3 linked regions of the Yarrowia lipolytica genome follow. The protein of the gene in region 1 interacts with the protein of each later gene in a pairwise test. Links are inferred from orthologs where the notes say so. Each region holds a gene or a part of one and is shown in the gene's direction. Other genes may lie near its edges. The genes, in order: YALI1_F03735g, YALI1_F16035g and YALI1_E31075g.

Region 1 (4,233 bases):
TTCGGTCACAGGCTGTACAATGAGCTTGTCAATGTCCTTGGCGATGTGGAGCACCGACTGGGCCAGAGACAGAGCAATTGGGAACACCATCAGGTAAAGGGCATTCTCGTTTAGCATAGGCTGGGTCAACGGGGTAGCTCGGGTGGTGAAGGCCGAGTTCTCTGTCGACATGGCCTTGGTGTAGTAACCGAAGAACATGGATGCTGACAGCATGTATGCTGCGAAGGTGACGACAAACGTGGTTGAGAAGATACGATCACAGATCTCAGCAGCCAGTGACAGGTACGGCAGCTCCCGTATGTGCAGGTCGGCCTTTCTCATGATGACGACCGGCAACAGACCCAGTAGTAGCCAAGAGGCTCGTAGAGGTAACAGGCACCACCACCATGAGGAGTCATCTGACGACGCCAACACCCGTCGTAGCACCTCAATCACAATTCCAATCAGATAGCAAAGCGTGAACAGCAGCCGATACATGTTGCCAAATCTGTATTTCATCACCAGCGTCATGAGACTGTGGTATGGGATGGGTTCCGACCGGGCACTAGGCACCGGCATCATTCGCGATACGCTGACCATGTGGTGTGTGTATTGTGAGTTGTGTGTGTGAGTATGTGTCGGTAATCGTTTCTTCTAGTTTGGATGATGCAGATTCGTTAGTAGTAGCGGTGGTTGCGGCGGTTATGTGGTTGTTTTGGTTCACTTCTTGATCTCGCAAGCTTCCAGAATCTTTTTCAGAGGCTATCCAAACATGCAGAAACAACAATGCAGAAAGCTTGAGTAACAATCAGTGGATGGAGACAGGTTAGAGGAGAATACTTGGTGGGCGGGAGGGGGAGGGAGTGGGAAGGTGAATGGAGTAATTGCAGTTGATTTATATTGGTCGGTTGATTCATTGTCTTATTAGTTTTCTCGGCGACCCTGAAACTGCCACCTCCCACAATTTATTTATATATAGTTTCGGCAACCTCTCACACGTTATTTACAGTACTTGTATATTCAGACTACCAACTAAATCACAACTAATATCCCAACAGCGCTTACTTATCCCTTGCCCCCTCCAACGCCGCCAACTCCACTTATTGACGCTGAAGAGATACATTTTTTGCTTTATATGAAACATCGCTCCTTTATCTATCCAATTATATCCTTCTTTTTGTTACACCATTTCGGGAAGATCGAAATAGCTACCCCTAGCTGACTTCTTCTCTCAACAAATTTACATCTAAAGCTAAGTAACTAAAGTTGGTGACTAAGAAGTGGAAGTCCTTATATAGGCAAGTAGGTGCTGTACGTAAGCAGATTCTTCACTGGTGATGTTACCGCATTGTGAAGAGCAATATCTACGTCTCCCGGTCACGTGCCATGTTGTAGGGGCAATCTACGCCCGCCGCGTTCTCACAGCAAGCTTGAATTTGTAATCGAGAGAGCGTTTCGCGTGTGGACGTGTTGACACTAAAACTGTAAAATTCAAGACTGAACCAGGAACACCTCAAGAGTATTATTTAGAAGATTATAAGGGCGGTGACAAAGCTGAAGCAATGCTAATGCTCATTATTCATGTCTAACTTGCTCTTGTTTTCTCCTCACCCACCATCTTCACGCCCTCCGTACCATATCTTGCTCTCCTCTAAGACTGCATTTTTAGCTGCTTACTCTGATCATAACATTGCAGGTATTTTTCCTGCATCGACATAGACGCGTCACACCAGAGAAGTTCACCTGCAAGGATACCTGCTTTTTCGTTGTAAGAAAAAAGTGCCTGACAAAAACTACTTCCTCAGTGACAAGCATCTGATCGTAACGAAACGACTTCGTTTCCGCCGGTACCACAACACTAACCACCTTGTTTCCTAATTGCATCAAAAAACGCCACCCGCTCTACTAGCAATGCCACAGTTCGGAGACCACTACGCGCTGCCTGATCCACCCAAAGCCATCACCACGGGCTCTGGGGGCGCCCCCAACATTCCTTACTCGCGCAGCGAGGAGCGACAGGTGTCTGATCTGCTCAAACACAACCTGGGCCCCGAATTTGTCTCCAAACGGCCCAGTCCGGGAGGTCGAAGCGTGCACTACTTGGAGGGCTGGAAGGTGTTCAATCTGGCCAACGAGATCTTCGGCTTCAACGGTTGGCGGTCGCAGATCATCAAGCTGGAGGTCGACTACTGCGACCAGAACCCCGACACAAAGCGATGGGACGTGGGCGTCTATGCTATTGTTCGTGTCCATCTCAAGGACGGCACCTATCGGGAAGACACGGGGTCCGGCAATGTCGAGAACTGCCCCAAGCGAGACATGGCGCTCAACAAGTCGCGCAAGGAGGCTGTGACGGATGCATTTAAGCGAGCCATGCGTCAGTTTGGCCCCTCTCTGGGCAACTGTCTGTACGACTCGGAATACCTGAGCAAGCTCAAGACGGTGCGATCTGCCAAGTACACGTTTGATGAGAATAATCTGATTCGAAAGCCAGAATTTGTCATCAAGCGTGATATCAAGCAGGAGCAGGCCACTGCTGCCAACATTACTGCATCTACATCCACATCCACCACCTCGCATAATCAGGATCCTCCTGCTCCAGCCCCTGCCCCTGCCCCTCCTGCGCCTTCCGTCAGCCTCCACGGTCATTCAAACACATCCAGCAACCGCAGCAAGGCCGTGTCCATAGAGGCCATGTGCGAGGGCATCGACTACTCATTTGACGACGACGATCTCGACCTCGACTCCCTAGTGCCCCAGCTCAAGGCCGGACGCAACCCTTCGCCCTCCATCTCCGCTGAGGACTTTGACGAAGACCTGCCCATTTCGGCTGAGGCAATGGAGGAGGACGGATCGCCTATCCCCGTGGGCTTCTTCAAGGCCAGCGTTGCGGCAGATATCAACAAGGGCAGTCCCATTTCACAGAATGCCGCGTTTGACATCAACATCCAAAGTCCTTCCATTAAGCGCACCTTGGAGCATAATAGGAGTGTGCCTATTGCCAAACCACGTCCTCCCATGCACCCCAAGTCCACCAACATTCCCCCCAGCCCATTGTCCAAGCCGTTAGTGAATCCTGTGAAGCCCGAGTTTACCACCCCTGTTGCCAAAAAGCACAAAATTAACGAAAATGATGAATAGAAAACGAGGGATGGACAGATGGAGGGTGTATATTAGCTTCTATCAATTTGCATATGAATGGTGTACAGTCAGAGTAGCAAGTGAATTTCAAGTGTGCTGTATGTAGTCGTCCTGTACCGCTGTAGGCGACTGGACCAATAGGGATGGTGTTGTTCTGATGTCCAGAGCTACAGTAAGCGTCGTAGTTAGTTTTATTGGCCTCCAATTAATGTGTCGCGTTTTACTGTACAGATACTGGTGACTGTACTTGGCCTTCCAGTGTGCTGTGATTTACTTGCTCATTGTTTTGTTGTCATTGTCACCATCCGTTGTATTAATTTACCAGTGTTGTGGCAAGGCACTATCAACTATTTCACCTAATAATAACCCATCCATAATCTATAATCGGAGAGTCACGTCGTTCATCCAGTCTCTCTCCACTATAATTTTGTTACGTAACATTTTTGTGATGCACATTAGTCTCTTAGTCGTCGTAGTACTCGTCGTCAGACTCCTCCACGAGCTGCTCAAAGTTGACCTTGTACCGGAGCAGAGCGCCGATACCACCAAAGCCCTGGACGAACTGGGCACCCTCGGAGGACCGGTCTGTGACAAACTCCAGCTGGGCGCCAAAGTCCTTGTAGTGCTCGGCTAGCCACTCGAGCAGAGGAATCTCGTCGACCACCTCCAGCTCGTTACCCTCCTTGTCGATCAGGTATTCCTCGGTGGGAGTTCCCTTCTTGATGTGCACAATGGTCTCCTCGCCATCGTTGTTCTTGAGAGTCATTCGCTGGATGTCAAGGTTCTCGTAGACAATGACAGTCTCGCAGGCTCCGAGATCCAGGGCCTTGAGAGTCTCGTCGTAGCCGTAACAGAACTTTCCAGAGTCCATGGAGATCTCGTCGAAGTACTGGGTCAGCAGCTTCTTCTCCTGAACGAACTTGACGTTGGACAGAGTCTCGGCAGACAGCTCGATGGCCTGGTTGAAGCCGTTCTCTCCTCCGTACGACACATCGACAGTCTTGATGACCTTAGCGTGCAGACGGTTGTCAAAGAGATCAGAGCCGTTCAGCTCGGTCTTGAAGTCGGCAGAACCGGCCAGAATCAGACCGTTGACGTTGACCTTGTCGTTTG
Region 2 (5,280 bases), about 1.2 Mb from region 1:
GGTGAAACCCAACAGTCCCAGCGCAATAATGTAGTCCATGATCGACGTTCGGATATGCAAGAGTTCGGAAACGTGGGCAGCAGACAGAATATGAGGAGGAACATCGCCCTGCTCAACAGCGGTGGATTGGGTCAGTTTCACCGACGCCCACAAGTACACGGGCTTGTGGTCTGAAGACATGACGGCGGGGATCGAGTCGTATTTCCGGGGCACCACTGCTCCTCTATACAGCACTCGGTCGCACCAGGACGGAATTCGCTTGGTGTTGTATTCGGACGTTCCGGTGTGGAACTTGTAGGTTGGTTTGAATCCGATTTCGGCCTCCTGGAAGTCCCAGAAGGCATCGAGCGACCTCATGGCGTAAAACAGCTCGTCTACCACCTTGTAGTCAGCGAGTCCCTGCTCGTTTTCCGACGCTCGGTAGTTGAGATCACCCAAAAAGAATACCGTGGCGTCATCGTAGATGCCTGTGCGTGGGTCGAGGAACTTCATTTCCTTGGCAATGGTGGCGAAATCGTCGTTGCGCTGCTCCAAAAAGCCCTCATTGGCCGCCAGGTGCGCAGCCACACACACAACGGGATTGCCATCAACATTGAGTCGGAGACCCACGGCGCCCTTGAGCGACGACCAGAACATGCCGCACGCCACGTGGCACAACTTGACGTCGGTGACAAGCACATCTGCCGACGCTATTGCCACCAGACCCATGGCTCCAAACGTGTGTTGACCAACCACCACGTATCGTTCGAGCCACGGCTGGTCCCTGATCGCCTTGAGAACCTGCTGAATCAGATCATTGAGCGGATCCACCGCATATCCAAGACACCCATCGGGAATCGAACACAGCTCCTGATACCCAAACAACAAGACATGGGGCGCATCAATCCCTGCCAACTCGGCGGACAAATGCTGGTAGTACTGCGTGTCCTGGGTGAGCTTGCCACAGTTGAACGTGGACACAAAGAAAGAAGTCATGCGGCGAAAAAATCAGAAAATTGCCCGATTGAAATGGTCCGATCACTGGTGGGATGTAAATAAGTAGGATGGGCAATGTATGCATGGTGTACGCACAGGGAGCTACTTGTAGATCACGTGATAAGGTGGATTGGGCAAGCTGACAAGGAGTCGGAGAATTGGTCATGACCCTGGACCACCGTGACTAATCCGGACTCGGTTATATTCCTCCAAATCCACATGTTCCACGAGACCCCCGCCGCCCCCCACAGCTGACTAAGCTGATTAAGCAGCTCCATGGTGAGCTGTCATTTTGAACCCTAGTTGGCTTATCGGCTGCAACTATGACGACAGTACGAGAGGGAGGGGAGGAGGGCGGTCGAAAGGGTCTCCCAAGAGACATGGGCCTAGAGAGGCATGTTGCTGACTAATCGGAGGACGGAGAGCCCCCCAAACGCCACGACACCTTCCATCCCGTTCTTATAAGCTTATATAATCACCATTTCCCAGTACGCCCGGCCGTCTGGGCAGGATGAGATCTGTTGAGGCTGGGTGGACAAAGTTCACCACGGTAGATTAGGCAATTGCTCTGACGAAGGTACTGGAAGGTCTTGAGTAGAGGCCACGTTGTCGGGATGATTTGGGGGTTTTAGAGACGGAAAATTGCACAGAGCCAATCTATATAAGGCTGTGTGTCGCCATGTAATATTCTTTCTCATGGATCATTCCTCCACGGTCCAGTTACGTGGGTGTTTCCTACTCCCTTCCGTCTCTCACACTTGTCTACTTGTCTACCCCGAACCTTAACTGGTAGGTCCTGGCACTCGCACTTTTAACTGTGGCAAACGCACTTGTCTTAACTCTGCACTGTACACATCACCATGACTGACAATACCGAAGAATCGAAGCGATTGATCGACAATTCCGGTGCTGCCGAGAACGCCGACGACTCTCTGGCCACCGCCATTCTGCGAAAGAAAAAGAAGGACAATGGTGAGTATTTCGGGTGGCGCGGCAACGTGGGTTATGTGGTGGTCTGCCCGCAGAAACATGAGACCCCAGCAGAGAAAACCGCAAGCAAGCCAGCAAGCAATCAATCATACTAACATAGCTCTTGTCGTGGACGATGCCACCAACGATGACAACTCCATCATCTGCATGTCGCCAGCAACCATGGATCTGCTCCAGCTGTTCCGGGGCGACACAGTGCTGGTCAAGGGCAAGAAGCGAAAGGACACGGTGCTCATTGTGCTGGCCGACGAGGAACTCGAGGACGGCGTGTGCCGAATCAACCGATGCGTCCGAGGCAACCTGCGAGTCCGGCTCGGAGACGTGGTTTCGGTCCACCCCTGCCCCGACATCAAGTACGCCACCCGAATTTCGTGTCTGCCCATCTCCGACACCATTGAGGGTCTGACCGGCTCGCTGTTCGACGTCTTCCTCAAGCCCTACTTTGTCGAGGCTTACCGACCCGTGCGAAAGGGCGATCTGTTCACCGTGCGAGGAGGTATGCGACAAGTCGAGTTCAAGGTTGTCGACGTCGACCCCCCGGAGTACGCCATTGTCGCCCAGGATACCGTCATCCACTGCGAGGGCGATCCCATTGAGCGAGAGGACGAGGAGGGCAACCTCAACGAGGTCGGCTACGACGATATTGGAGGCGTGCGAAAGCAGATGGCCCAGATCCGAGAGCTAGTCGAGCTGCCTCTGCGGCACCCCCAGCTGTTCAAGTCTATTGGTATCAAGCCCCCCAAGGGTATTCTCATGTACGGTCCCCCCGGTACTGGTAAGACCCTGATGGCTCGAGCCGTGGCCAACGAGACCGGAGCCTTCTTCTTCCTGATCAACGGTCCCGAGATCATGTCCAAGATGGCCGGTGAGTCCGAGTCCAACCTGCGAAAGGCCTTCGAGGAGGCCGAGAAGAACTCTCCTGCCATCATCTTCATTGATGAGATTGATTCTATCGCCCCCAAGCGAGACAAGACCAACGGTGAGGTTGAGCGACGAGTGGTTTCCCAGCTGCTGACTCTCATGGACGGAATGAAGGCCCGAGCCAACATTGTCGTCATTGCCGCCACCAACCGGCCCAACTCCATCGACCCTGCTCTGCGTCGATTCGGCCGATTCGACCGAGAGGTCGACATTGGTATTCCCGACCCCACCGGTCGACTTGAGATTCTGCGAATCCACACCAAGAACATGAAGCTTGGCGACGACGTTGATCTCGAGACCATTGCCGCCGAGACTCACGGTTACGTCGGTTCCGATATTGCCTCTCTGTGTTCCGAGGCAGCCATGCAGCAGATCCGAGAGAAGATGGATCTGATTGATCTGGAAGAGGAGACCATTGACGCCGAGGTGCTCGACTCCCTTGGAGTCACCATGGAGAACTTCCGATTCGCACTCGGCAACTCGAACCCCTCTGCTCTCCGAGAGACCGTTGTTCAGTCCGTCAACGTCACCTGGGAGGACATTGGAGGTCTCGACGGCATCAAGCAGGAGCTCAAGGAGACCGTCGAGTACCCCGTTCTGCACCCCGAGATGTACACCAAGTTTGGCCTGTCTCCCTCCAAGGGTGTGTTGTTCTATGGTCCCCCCGGTACCGGTAAGACTCTGCTTGCCAAGGCCGTTGCCACCGAGGTGTCTGCAAACTTCATCTCCGTCAAGGGTCCCGAGCTGCTGTCCATGTGGTTCGGAGAGTCAGAGTCCAACATCCGAGACATTTTCGACAAGGCCCGAGCTGCCGCTCCTTGTGTTGTCTTCCTCGATGAGTTGGATTCCATTGCCAAGGCCCGAGGTGGCTCTGTTGGCGATGCCGGTGGAGCTTCCGACCGAGTTGTCAACCAGCTGCTGACCGAGATGGACGGTATGAACGCCAAGAAGAACGTGTTCGTCATTGGAGCTACCAACCGGCCCGACCAGATTGATCCTGCTCTGCTGCGACCCGGCCGACTGGACCAGCTCATCTATGTGCCTCTGCCCGACGAGGCCGGCCGACTGTCCATTCTCAAGGCGCAGCTGCGAAAGACCCCTCTCGAGCCCGGTCTGTCTCTGCAGGAGCTTGCCAAGTCTACCCATGGCTTCACTGGTGCCGATCTGTCGTACATTGTGCAGCGATCTGCCAAGTTTGCCATCAAGGACTCCATTGAGGCTGCCATCACCGCCCAGCGGGAGGCTGAGGCTGCCGGCAACGAGGACGTGGAGATGGAAGACCCTGTTCCTTACATCACCCGGGCCCACTTTGAGGAGGCCATGAAGACCGCCAAGCGATCTGTCAGCGACAGTGAGCTGCGTCGATACGAGGCCTATGCCCAGCAGATCCAGTCGTCGCGAGGAAACATTGGTTTCCGGTTCAGCGAGGACGCTGCTGGTGAGGCTGCCGCCGCCGACGCTGGTGCCGGCACTGCTTTTGGTGCTGACCAGGAGGATGACCTGTACAACTAGACGTATGAGTTTGAGCATATAGCAATGACATGATAATATTAGGATGTATATATAATAGGATGTAGTGGTTGTACTTGTACCTAGATTTTTTTTTTTTCTGCATATACATTCATTTAATTATAACTTTGCTGTGAAAGAATAACCTTTGAAATGAATGTACGCTTACACGAATATTACTAATTAAACACGTTTAGAGTATTGGTGGTTGCAACCAAAGCCAAGTAATGCACTTGGGAGTTTACACTTATTGTGAGACAATTACTTAGCTTCAGTATAGTACATGCAGTATTGTACTCGTACTGTACTTGTTCCTCAATAGGACCTTTTTTTCCATTTTTGTTCATGTGACTTTTTTGTCGCCGTTATTATCTTCTTATGGTCAGTTTCGCGATTACGTAAGCCGTTTATGCCACGTTTCAGTGGCGATTTGACCCCAGATTTAGCGGCCGATTTAGCCATTTGCCACCTGATTGAATTTTCGGTGGAGCTGCACGTGAATATGATAAGGTTTGGGGATCACAACATTTGATCTGAGCTGGACAACCGATATAAAAACAAAAAAACAAGACAAAACAAGACATTTCCTGTTACACACACACAACCATGGTCAATGTTCTTTCGATTGCTAGCCGGTTGGCTATGATGACCTTGTCGTACGTGGTTGGGGCGATTCAGCCGCCGCTACAGTCGATTTTCTCCACGCATCCCGATCTGATGGGCATTCTTCTGGTGCTTGTCATTTTCTACGTGTCTTTGCTGGTGTTGAAGCAGAGTCTGCGGTCGTTCTGGGGGCTGATCACGACGTTTGTGCGGATGTTTGTGTTGTTGGCGGTGGTTGGAGGTGCTGGGTGGGTCTATGTGCGAGGGGTGGGTGGCACGATT
Region 3 (4,386 bases), on another chromosome or scaffold:
TATGGATGACTTCCAGGTGGATATGCTCAATCCAGAAACGGGCGAACAGACGGTCGCAATATCACCTGAAATGTGTGACCCATCTCTCCAGCAATTGAGAGTGTCCGCCTTAGCAGCTAACAGGAACGTGGTTATGCTGGGAAGCACAAAGGGCGTGTTTGTGGTGAAACCGTTGGCTGAAACGTCGTCGTCAGAAAAGAAATCGTTTCTCTCTTCGGGCATGATATCGTCTGGTAACGAACTACAGGTCAACTACATCTCCTTGTTGTCCTCTTCAGCCCTGATATCAGGCAACGACAACGTTCTTCGGACTCTGGACCTGAACACTCTTAAGGCAAAAGACTCCATTACACTCAACTATGCTGCTAATGCTACGGCCTTTCTCCCAGGCTCGGAAAATGTCTGCGTCATGGCTTGTGACTCGCAGGAGTCGCACGTCTACGACTCGCGATCGGGTAAACTGCAAATGTCATTGCAGGGTCACACGGACTTCGGATTTGCATGTGCCTGGTCTCCCGATGGCAAAACAGTGGCTACAGGCAACCAGGACGGAACTTGCCGTCTGTACGACATCCGAGGAGCGTCCAACCAATGCATCGGCGCCGTTTCGGGAAAGTTGCAGGCAGCTATTCGGTCCGTGGATTTTGATGCTTCCGGAAGATATCTTGCTATTGCCGAGCCGGTCGATTACGTGACTGTTATCGATACGTGGTCGGAATGTACGTCCAGACAGACGATCGAGTTCTTTGGAGGCACCGCCGGCGTCAGATTCACTCAGTCGTGTTCGCTGGGCGAGTACCAGCAGTTGACAATTGGTGTTGCTGATGAGACTGTTGGAGGAGTCATTCAGTACATGCGACCCAGTCAGTTACAGGGTGAGGATTTTGGATTTATCTAGACGATGACGAGAGACAGGGGCCGAAAAGAGTGACGAATAAGAAATGTCGTCGACTATGACGACGACGAAGATGATGTGTACGATAGGATGATGTCTGAAGGAGACCCGTATATATGTTATTTATTGAGTATAATACTAATTGAAGGGGTGGATTACGAGTGAGTCACTGATGGGGATACGAAGGCGTTACAGCGCGACTAAAAATTGATGAATTTGAGCTGTGTTCATCAGTGTCTTCGCAGTTGCTCACGGTTCACATGCTCGCACGCAACAAATCATTGAGGACCTCAACGGGAAATATTGGTGGATAGAGAGTATTAAACGGGAAGCTGGCAAGGCTCAGCTTCGATTAGCCATACTGCACAAATAGTACATACCTCACTTACGTAACCTCTAAACGTCCATTTTTAACTTCTCCAACTTGCAGTTTTTCTTTATATTATTTTGAACTAAGGAAAGACAGCGCTTTTTTTTCATTCTAGATGAGGGTGAGATTATTTTTTTCCTAATTTTTTTTTTAATTCTAATGATTCATTTTTCATGATTCATTTTATTCTAGGGAAAATGCCCCACGGAAATAAGGTTTAATTTAAGCTTGTTTGGGAGTTTGGCCGAGTGGTCTAAGGCGCTAGCTTCAGGTTCTAGTGTCGAAAGAGGCGTGAGTTCGAACCTCCCAGCTCTCTTTTTTTTGCCTAACGGAGTGGTGCCGGGAGTGTAACTTGATGTAACTTGATTTTTCGCCACATACACAGATTAATTGGTTCTCTGATTTTGAGTCTTCAGCCCGTTATTTTGCCACTTTACCCACTTTCTTATTTTACTTGTGGTATGCACACCTCTACGTCATATGCAGCCCCAAACTCTGGATCATAGCTCTCACCATCGGACCCTTCTTTTTGATAACACACATCATGTTTGGAGGAACTGCACAATGGGGCGCCACGCCTTTCCGAAACCGAACCCAGAAGTTTCAGGACTACTACCGATGTTACCCCATCGCCATGATGCCCGGTAAGGACCGAGAGTCTGCCAACTACGGTGGCAAGATCTTTTTGCCTCCCTCGGCACTTTCCAAGCTCAGTATGCTGCACATTTCGTACCCGATGTTGTTCCAGCTCAAAAGCGAGGAGAACGACAATGTGACGTACGGTGGCGTTTTGGAGTTCATTGCCGAGGAGGGCCGCGTCTACTTGCCCCAATGGATCATTGAGACTCTGGATGTGGGTCCTGGATCTCTGCTGGAAATTTCGTCTTGTGATTTGCCACTGGGTAAGTTTGTCAAGTTTGAACCCCAGAGCGTTGATTTTCTGGACATTTCCGACCCCCGAGCAGTGCTGGAGAGATCATTCCAGAACTTCTCGACCCTCACAGTCGGAGACGTGTTCAAGTTCAGCTACAACGACAAGACATATGGAATGAAGGTGCTGGAGGTCAAGCCCGACCTGGAGGACAAGCACTCGGTGTGCTGTGTGGAGACGGACATTGAGGTTGACTTTGCGCCTCCGGTGGGCTACGTGGATCCCTCCACCCAGAGTGACTCCAATTACGGAAGAGCCATCAAGACACCTGGTACCAGTGGATCTTCTACTCCTGCACCAATGGCAGCCGCGGGAACCATGGCCCAGTCTATTGGTTATTCGAAGCTCGCCCAACAGACCATTAAGTCTGCTTCTAAAAACACCTTTTCCGGTGGCGGCCAGAAGCTGTCTGGAAAAGCCGTCAAGCCTGAAGAAGAGGCCTCCCTCGACGAGCACTTCAAGGAGCTCGTGGGTCTGGGATCAACAGACACAGACGCGAACCCCCAGCCTTTACGTCTCCCTTTTGGGCAGCTATTCTTTGGTTTCCCCCTAGTGCCTGTCAAGCCTTCTGAAGACGAAGAGACACAGACCGAGGAGCAGCAGCAACAGCCCCACTTTTCGGGCACAGGCCAGAGTCTGCGAGAAAGTCGAAAACGCAAGGAGCGCAACTCGTCGGCTGGAGCTGCGGGAGGAACCCCCAAGAAGCCCACCAGTCCCGAAATGGTGGTCATTGATTAACCATGGCCAAGACGGCTGTGGATTAGAGGCAGACTTATATATCTGTATTTATATGTGTTGGGCAACCAACCCAAGTTATTATATTGAATGAGTAAAATAGGAGAAGTAAATGGTAATACTCATACTTGTACATGTAGATTGTAAATAATATATACTTGATTTAAAAAATGTAAATATATAAACTACGAAACTGAAACGCCTTGAAGGCTGAGTGTATCGTACATACGTAATACTGTACAATAAATACGATGTACTGGGGGTACTACAGTAAGTATGCGTATGTATCGCTTCAAATTGTGGACGAGAAGCACTACAGTAGATTTTTTTCACTATCATCTTGTCACTTGGGTCATCTTCGTGGGCTTGCTCTCCACAACCCAGGCATGCTACTTGTACAATGGCATCTACATGCTCATATAGTCAAAACAAATAAATAATTATGCTAATGCTTCTTGTTAATCTTGCGTCCCATTCGCCGTCTCAATGTCAAGTACTTACTCTCGGGCTCCGGACTGTCATTGACAGCTCCAACCACAGACCGAATAGACTGCCGTCGTGTAAGAGGAGGCATGGAGGCATTACTGGAGGTCTTGCGAGCAACCGGCTGCGATAAGTGCGACTTGTTTGACTTTTGAGACTGTCTAGAAGTCGTTCGGTCAACTGCAGGCATGCCTGGAACCATGTTGTACTGGTGCTCGCCTCCTCCATAGATCTGTCCATTGTGTTCCACGACAGAAAAGACCCGCTTTCGAAGGCCTCTTGGGATATGATCTCGATCCAGAATGTCTGGAGTATGATCAGCTGCCGTTCGTAGCTCATGGGGTGTCTCGTCAGGTTCTTCATCGTCGTTGTCAGCCTTGAGAGGATCGTGGGGAGCCAGAACCTCGTCGTAAGCACGAGCTGCCGAAGCAGCCCATTCAGCGTAAATGGGACGCGAAAGAAAGCCGTACTTGAATTTGTTGACACCCACAAGCAGCGCTGTGAGATCAGCCAACTCTTCCACGTACTCAATGACCTCCTCCACGGCCGAAGAAGTCGCACTCCACGACATGAACTTTTGCTGCAACACGACGGCTCGATGTTGGAGGTAGTCGTGTGGCTGCTGCTGCTGCTGCTGCTGTGTTCGGGCTCGAGGCACAATCTCAATCTCCTGAGACGAGTCATCCGAGTCTGAAGTGTCATCAGAACTGTGGTGCAGAGCATGGGGTGTGTCTGTATCATTGACCACCAAATCAGGAACACAAGCCTTCTCTCGAGTGGTGTCTCCTTCCGAACATCGTCTAGGAGACCCAGTATGAACATTGGGAAGACTGGCTCGAGAAGATAACTCAGGGTGCGAAGGATTGCCTAGAGGAGTGGCCAAGGGGGTTTCTCGAGGGGTTTCTCGGGGGGTCTCTCGAGGTGTGTCACGAGGTGTACCTACCGCTGGAGTTCCAATATTGGGAACGCTAT

Evidence for each region.
Region 2: the proteins of YALI1_F03735g (region 1) and YALI1_F16035g interact in binary tests that used the Saccharomyces cerevisiae proteins (3 or more experiments, as listed by UniProt). The link is inferred for Yarrowia lipolytica from reciprocal best matches to the Saccharomyces cerevisiae genes RAD52 and CDC48.
Region 3: the proteins of YALI1_F03735g (region 1) and YALI1_E31075g interact in binary tests that used the Saccharomyces cerevisiae proteins (3 or more experiments, as listed by UniProt). The link is inferred for Yarrowia lipolytica from reciprocal best matches to the Saccharomyces cerevisiae genes RAD52 and UFD1.

What each region holds. Positions count from the first base shown.
Region 1 is NC_090775.1:371,655-375,887, forward strand, and holds YALI1_F03735g (uncharacterized protein), read left to right. Parts: upstream 1-1,890; coding exon 1,891-3,120; downstream 3,121-4,233. Other genes in the region: YALI1_F03722g (uncharacterized protein), read right to left, coding at 1-579; YALI1_F03765g (uncharacterized protein), read right to left, coding at 3,584-4,233. UniProt on the Saccharomyces cerevisiae protein: Involved in DNA double-strand break (DSB) repair and recombination. Promotes the annealing of complementary single-stranded DNA and by stimulation of the RAD51 recombinase.
Region 2 is NC_090775.1:1,600,236-1,605,515, reverse strand, and holds YALI1_F16035g (uncharacterized protein), read left to right. Parts: upstream 1-1,944; coding exon 1,945-4,398; downstream 4,399-5,280. Other genes in the region: YALI1_F16045g (uncharacterized protein), read right to left, coding at 1-975; YALI1_F16005g (uncharacterized protein), read left to right, coding at 5,002-5,280. UniProt on the Saccharomyces cerevisiae protein: ATP-dependent chaperone which probably uses the energy provided by ATP hydrolysis to generate mechanical force to unfold substrate proteins, disassemble protein complexes, and disaggregate protein aggregates.
Region 3 is NC_090774.1:3,105,754-3,110,139, forward strand, and holds YALI1_E31075g (uncharacterized protein), read left to right. Parts: upstream 1-1,809; coding exon 1,810-2,934; downstream 2,935-4,386. Other genes in the region: YALI1_E31050g (uncharacterized protein), read left to right, coding at 1-898; YALI1_E31131g (uncharacterized protein), read right to left, coding at 3,377-4,386. UniProt on the Saccharomyces cerevisiae protein: Functions at a post-ubiquitation step in the ubiquitin fusion degradation (UFD) pathway. Has a role in the endoplasmic reticulum-associated degradation (ERAD) pathway.